Linked DNA regions of Arabidopsis thaliana. The protein of the gene in region 1 interacts with the protein of each later gene in a biochemical or structural test. Each region holds a gene or a part of one and is shown on either strand. Other genes may lie near its edges.

Region 1 (4,919 bases):
TTTTATTTAGGACCAAAACTCTGTATTCGTCAAACCTGTTCGAATTGTTCCATTTCCATCGAACTATAAGAGTTGTCTTTTTGTCTCTCTTTCTTGAATTGTTCTCTTTGATTCTTTTGCACATCTCTTTTTTTTTTCCTTTAAAGCCTAAAGAGTAAAGACAATCTGGTAATTGGCCCAAAAGCCTATATAGCATTGTTGAACCAAATATAAAACTGCACGGTTGAGTAGGGTTAGGGCTGGTTCAAAATCTCAGCCTTAAATTCACTTCATTCAGGTTGTACCAAAATGTAAGTATTTGTAGACAGAGATGACTTTAACCATTGGAAATGATCAGTCCATCAAAAAAATATAAAAGACCAAGACCGGCGTCTAATGAACTACAACGAACAAAACCAAAGCAGTACTACGTTTTTATTTTATCTATTTATTTCACACATACCACCTAAATAGCTAAACGATCAATAACTTCAAAATGATCACACACATACAACAAACAAAATTAGAGAACAAATTCTCTCAAGTTAACTTTTATTTTATTGTTTAAACCACTAAATACCCTTAATAGCCCATGGCCAAACCACTAAATAACCTTGTAGCCCATATCCAAACAACTCTCTTTTCCTTTCACATTCGCCGGTGTTAATGTGTATTGGTAACCCCAATTCATAACAAAACAAAGACGGGCGCTAAACCCTAAAACTAATTAAGGCTCATCGCTATATCAACATCTTATTCTTTGGTTTAACCACTTAATTGCACAACCACCAAAAAAAGGATCCAAAACTAGTTTTACTGAGAGCTATTCTTGAGATCAATGACGACCACACTTATATTATCACTGCTTTGTCTACCCAAAGCCAACCGCGTTAGCAACGTTGCAGCCAATACACTCCTTGAAGGATTTTGTTCTCCGTCATTGTCGTCTTCTTGAGCCATTCTATTTAAATCAAGGCTCGAGGGAGTTTCTTCGCGGAGACAAAACCTAGCTATGTCACAAGCTAGCTGACTCGAGAGTACATCCCAAAGCCCATCGCTTGCTAATACTAAGCATTCATCTCCAGATTCCCTTCTCATGAATGTTACTTCTGGTTCCCATGCTACCATTGGTTTTAGATACCTGTCCCCTGCTCCATGAATTGTAACACAACATTAGGAACAATTTCCATACTAAAACTTCATGTTTAGTCTAATAAATTGTATAACCGAAATAAATTTTAAGTTGGTTAAATGATCAAACAATGAAAGATACAAAGATAAGACACATTTAAATACTTTTGAAGTTAAGAAAAATACTTCTCCCGTTCTAATCCATGAGATGGTTTGTATGAATGCCCACATTTTTTATTTTCGTAAAATGATTCAATTATTTTTGTTTTCTAGTTAATGCTGCAAATATAATTTTTTTTGTTTTTTTTTTTTTTTGTCAAATGTTAAACTATTAGGACCAATGTAAAATTTCTAGTTAACATTTTGACAAAAAAAAGAGAGTAAAATTTACATATTTTTTTTTTAAAGGAACAATTATAAAACATCTTTGAAAATAGAATTAGAATTAATCAACAAAAGAACTCGCACCAAATGAAACCAATCCATAGTACCTTAGTTAGTAAACTTAAAACCCTAAACCCCAAATCCGAAATGATTATTATTGCCCTTATAGGCTCTAGTTCCTTGCCATCTTCAACACTATCAACTAAAATCATCTTTTACTACAATATGAGAATTGAGAAAGGTATACCTATGGCTCTGGACGTGGCTAGAATTCCTTCAACTCTAGCTCCATCCACTACTAAAACTCGACCACCAGCTGCTTCAATCCTCGCACGCTCGTCTGGTCTATCCGGCTGCAAAAAACTCAACAACTTCAAAATAGAAACTCCAATATTCTCAAACCTTTACAAGAACACCACCTTGTGATCGTTACTCAGAGGAATAGCCATTCCATTTCGACACAACACCGCACGTGAGTCACCAGTATTGGCTACAATAATATGATCGTGCGTCAAAACCGCAGTGACCGCCGTTGAACCCGAAATCGCAGCCTCCCTCGGATCACAGTTACACAACGGCACACTAGTCCCACACACGCATGTACTCGTTGCCATCTCATCCATCCTCTTGAAACTCCGTTTCATCACGCCCCGCCATTTCCTCTCCACGACATCGTTTTCGCTTCCTTCTTCCTCCTCTTCGAGGTTTTGCTCTAGCTCCTCCTTGACAAACGTGTGCATAGTCGTGCTGCACAATGTTGACACCTGTCCACGCATCACATCAGCATCTTTATATTAAATGACCAAACCACCCCTGGTTAATTTTCTTACCTGAGAACCGCCGTGGCCATCGTATACCGCAAAGAAATGAACCGGTCTTTGCCGGTTAACTTCCGGTTTGCACAAATTCGGTTTAACAGTAACCGAATCCTCCATCTTACGAGATCTTCCCATAACCGAAACTATACCGTACAACGGCTCATCCTCCGTTTCTTCTCCCTTCCACACCGGCGCTTCCGATTTTTGGCAAGAAGATGCCGCCGGAGGTGCCAAAAAGCCCCCGATATCCGCCGGAAGACCACCGATCTCTGACCTCCGAGCTTGTTTCCTCAATGGAACGTCAAAACTTGAGTAAACTTCCATGTCCGTCCGATCACGATTCCTAGACGAACTAGGTTCGCCGAAAACCGCCGCTTGTCTCCGCATCTCAATTCTCCGACGACGACGTTCACGGCATTTAGTCGGAGAAACGTCGTCTCCACGTCCGGTTGAAATTGTTCTGTAGATTTCAGTCATCTTTTCAAAATTCGTTTCGGTGGATCAAGAGAGCACCGCTTTATATACATGGGGCCGAGAGAAAGAGAGAACACTTTGAACATAAAGAAGCTTACGAGGAAGACAGAACACGTGTCGGTGTTTCGATGTATTCGCGTGTTAGGCTCAGGTGTTAAGTTGTTGTCCACGTGGAGACGCCTTCGGTTTTTGTTAAACCGCATCCGGTTTTGGGTTCATGACGATAGTCGTTTAGCTAGGCTCTTGTGTCTTAACTCCTTTCTTCTTCTCCTTGCTTGAATTTGAACCCATGAGCCGGAGCTGATCTCTCAAACCATGTGAACTACAAGGATCAGGCTGGTTCTGGACTAATTCATCAAATATTATAGAAAATGAAAAACTCATGATATACGAAATATTGCATCTTGTTTCCTTTTGCTTTCAATATGAAAACATTAATGTCAAAACAATGACTATAAATGTAACAATATTGAAAAGGTTTATATCAATTTTCTTATTTTTAAAAAGAATTAAATTTTGAAAACCATCTTTTTGAAAAGTGAAAACAAACAATTTCTACTATATTAAATCTGGAATAACATTTACTGATCGTTCCAAATCTCGAGTAGTATTTTCTATAAAACCTGAACGGTAAGTATACTTAAACCAAATCATGGGATTAACCATAACGTTGGAGATATCTTCGGAGAAAAAGGTTGACGAATCGTCAATCGTCACTAGTCACTCTTTTTCGGTGCAACACATGTCACATAGTGATCATCTACAACTTCTCGATTCCTCAGGTTGAGCGACTTGTACCAATTAAACACGTAGCATAGTTATGCCAGTTTAGTCCATCAGTGCCATATGCCTTTTATTCTTTATTTGGTTTCCTACAAATGAAGAAAAACGGCGATATATGTATATTTTATGCTAACAGATTTGATTTGTAATTAATGTCTACTCAAATAAGCAACTGTACAAGATACAAAGAATCATATCATTATTTATTCAAATACTCAAGATCTACGAAAACCGTAATAAATGTTTACAAACTGTCTTTGAAATATATTAAAGTGGGTGAACTGAAATATGTGGATCGATCAATCCTAATATTTTGCTATATTGATGAGAATTAATACGAGTCGAATAGATCATAACAGTTAGGGTGGTTCTCTCTACATGAATGATATGGTTTAGCTAAAAACTAAAACAAACAAAATATTAAGCTAATATAAATGTGTAAGTTATCTAAAAGGAAGATAATAATGAAAAAGCTTGTCTAAAATTCTTAAAAAATGATTCAAACACACTTTACCTTAAATTTGTGATTAGTTGGGACTGGGATATAGTTTTAATCATTGGTGGGTTGGGTGGTTAGTTTTAGGTTTTAATGATTGAAAACTTAACTTGCCGATATAGTGATTTTGTTTTTTTTTTTATGTGAAGAAAATAAAAACTAGTGAGCTTAATTTCAATCCCTGGCTGTTTTAGTAGGTTATTATATATAAACCATATATGATAGAAATGTTATCTTCGTACATCAATGTTTGTTTAAATTGTTTATTCAGTTTTTTATGATCTTCTTGCGGAAATTTGGTTTAATAATTTTGCGTGTGGTTAGAATTACTATATGAAGGGAAGTTGCTTACCAAAAATCCTATGATCAATTCAGAAAAAGTTGGAAAATAATGAGAAAGAATAGTGTTTGTAGTGAAAATACTTTGTGTGGGGTCCAAATCTCCTGCAAAAAGAAACTAATGTGTAGAAGCATGCATGGAAACACCAATAAATTTTTCTGAAGACTCTATGGCACTAAAGTCAGTTAATTTGATCACCAAATATGACTGAAAACTATAAAGAATCGGAGAACAACAAAGAAAATAGGTTTCATTTCATGGCATGGAGTCAAGGGAAATATTCATGACATTGTCAATGATTTTAGGCTATATATGTTTCGAAGAAAAATAAGAAAATTGGTATTTTTGATGAAAAAGGAAAGTGAGGAAAAATTGAGTCGAACAAAAAGAAAAGCATCAACTTTGATGAGATAGAATCAAATTATTGAAAGAAGAGTTGTTTTAATATAAAAAAAAAAAAAATTTCCAGACTAATAGAAGATTTTTGTTGACCGGGTAAGTACGGAGAACTCAA
Region 2 (3,154 bases), on another chromosome or scaffold:
GATTTGAGTCAAACGGCCATGAAATTCACGAGATCTACAGTTTAGGTCATCATACTTTCTGTTCTGAGTGTAAAATACCTTCCAACCTAATAATATTATACTAAAGTATTGATATTAATTAGTTTAGAACTTCAAATTAAGAATCTTACATGATGCCCTTTTACTATGCATTATGCAAAATGGACAAAGAATTATCAAGAAAATTTTCAAACATGTATTTAGTCTAACTTTTGTTGTCAGCAATACAAATCAGTATATTTAGTAACTAAACCAACTGAGTCAACAATTTAAAACCATTATTTCAAAGATTCCTAATTGTAAAAATGTAGAAATAACCTTCATTTTATTTCTCTTCATAAAAGAGTAGGAGAAAAGAGACAATTACAATCACGGAAGAAAGAAACCACACGAGCATATTATTCCGATTCTTTATATTTTTATTATTATTATTGCAATGCTAAAAGCCTTAAAGATTAAAAACTAATCCATAACGATCCATTTTTTTCTTAATCCAATGATTCATAACTATAACTACGATTAGTTTATTGATTAGCTTAAACATATAGAGCTTACTTCATCATTTTCTTTGTGAGCTTAGCAAGTGAAGTAAGGTTATACCGAATAATGTTATCAACAAAAAATATTGTATCTTCCTCGCTAGTTCCTTCCGGCACATCCACCACGTAACTCTCCACCACCACCGTCTTCTTTGCCATATCCTCCGGCGACGCGACCACCTTCGTTTTCGATTTGTAATTAACAAGCCTATGGTTACCGCCAATAATACTTACCACCATCACGTGAGACTCATCATCTAGCTCTTCGAGCCTCTCCGTGCTGAAATCCGCCGGGAAGCCGGAGACTAACGTCACGTCCCGGACGGAGCCTTTTCCTTCTCCTCCTTTGCCGCCGCCGCCGCCAGAGCGCATGGTGCAACTTTTGACGAAACGTTGATAAGCTTGTGGTTTGTCGAAACTACGTAGGATGGACCACACTAGTGGTAATGGTGCTTCAATGGTCTCGACTACGCTAGAGCGACATCGTTTTTGCTTAGAACTTTCCATTTTCTGTTTTGTTTTTCTAATGGGTTTGTCTTTTATCGACGTGTATTTTCGTGTCTTACTTTAGAATTTTCGTATTCACTTGTTTTAAAGCATATCGAACGAATCTACGTACATATAAATGAAGGCAAGCCACCGACTAAAATATTTTTATAGTGTTTTATATTGTTTAATTTATTTACGAATTCTTCATGTAATATTAAACTTTAGAGTTCGATTCGAATTCTTCTTACTATATACTAACCAAAAAACATTTTACAATATAAACTTGTACACAAGTATTGACTGCCTTGTATAGTGAAAAATTACACAATCTTGTTGGCATATTTAGAAACTTTCTTTTGCTTTTTGATAAAAGGCTTGCATATTCTGGAACTTGGTTTTATCAAAAAGATTAACAAAACCATCTGTGAAGGGTATTCTGACAAGAGTGATAGGGAATATGGTTTTAACAAACCCTCTTTGAAGGTTTTTCTTTTGACTATATCAACCATTTAAACAGAAAGAGAGATATACGAGTATCTTTTCACGAAGAATTAAATATCTTACCAACTGATAAAAATTACCAATATTATATTAAAATCTAGTCGGTCTATTTTGGAAATTTGCTGCAGCAATGTTTTGGAGCTAAATATAGATAGATGTGTCATTGCCCACGAGGTAAATACAGATGTCATTTAAACCGGAAAAGCACACAATGGAATTTAGCGAAACACACACTTGTTTACAAACATAACAGTGTTTCTCTTAATTGGTTGCCGACCAGAAAAAAAAAGAATCCAATCTTTTTTCCTTCATAAGTGTAATGTTCTACGTATCCAATCCGAGAGCCATGCAAGTTCTACATATCCAGGGTAGGCATATTCAATGTTCCATCAGTCTATTGCCTATTAGAAATAAGGCCCGTATAAGCCCAAACTTTAATGATGATATTTTCCATTTATACATTTATGCTTCACCCCACACAGCACAAAATCCATTCTGTTTTGGTTTTGGGTTTCAAACTATCCAGTCCGTTTGTTAGTCCTTTTCTTGGCTTTGGTTTTATGTTTAGCCTTCCTAGACTAAGATCATGTTTAACGGCCGGCATTGTGTCACCTCCATGGTTATATAAATAACAAAAGTTTTAGATGAAAAAAAAAACTCAATTCCAATGTGTAATCTGTAAAGACATGAGATAAAATGTAATAGATTTTTTTATATATATTTATAAGTGGATTATAAAGGTAAATTGCAAATTAAAAATGGGTAAAGATATGAAGTAAAATAGAATAGATTTCCATAAGTGTATTATAAGAATAAAAATAAAATACATGGAACAAATTATATTTGGATTTAAGTATTAAAAATATGACTTAATAAACTTATAAAATTCAAATTATTCTTCTCTTAGATATCCATCTCGAGAAACATGGACATGATGACTATTTAAAATCCAAATTTTCATAAATTGCGTCTTAGAGTTGTAGCATATATGGGAATTGAGCTCAAGCTGAAATATATACATATATTGTTGGGGCTCACAAGTCACAATCAAAAACAGAATCGCAATTTTGGTATTTCTCAAACTTGCTTTCTTTATGGTAAGCAAGTGAAACCAATGCCCATTGCCACCCTCTGAACAATCTTATCGGCACCATTGATAAATTGTTTTGCAACCGTATCACAACTTTCTGTGTTATTAAGAATAAAAAAAGTTCGAAGGTAATGGAAGTTGTTCTAACAAATGGAGTTCACTACCTTGTAGGTTAATAAAAAAAAAACCTTTGATTGAATGTCTATTTATCCGGTCTAACAGAAAAGAATACGTCAAATTTTTTATTTTTTTTTATCTCTATCAGTAAAATTATTTATTGATGATCAACAAATTTTTACACTCAAAGAAAATGAGACGGGCGCAAGTAAGCCGAGTTAATTAGCAACTACAGTAGATATGATAGATCAAAACTTCCGATTTGTAACAAACCGATACTTCCAAACTCATGAATAACATATAGTATACTAGTATATAAAGAAACAGGGCAACATGGAATCATATTAAAACAAGCTTATGCTAAAACTCATGGCTCCAAGCCATCATTATTAAATACTAT

Evidence for each region.
Region 2: the proteins of AHG1 (region 1) and PYL13 form a complex in vitro, tested with the Arabidopsis thaliana proteins (one study listed by BioGRID).

The regions. Positions count from the first base shown.
Region 1 is NC_003076.8:21,024,786-21,029,704, reverse strand, and holds AHG1 (Protein phosphatase 2C family protein), read right to left. Parts: upstream 2,831-4,919; 5' UTR 2,790-2,830; coding exon 2,325-2,789; intron 2,259-2,324; coding exon 1,914-2,258; intron 1,848-1,913; coding exon 1,742-1,847; intron 1,128-1,741; coding exon 793-1,127; 3' UTR 517-792; downstream 1-516. UniProt on the Arabidopsis thaliana protein: Negative regulator of abscisic acid (ABA) responses during seed germination.
Region 2 is NC_003075.7:10,252,269-10,255,422, reverse strand, and holds PYL13 (PYR1-like 13), read right to left. Parts: upstream 1,065-3,154; coding exon 570-1,064; downstream 1-569.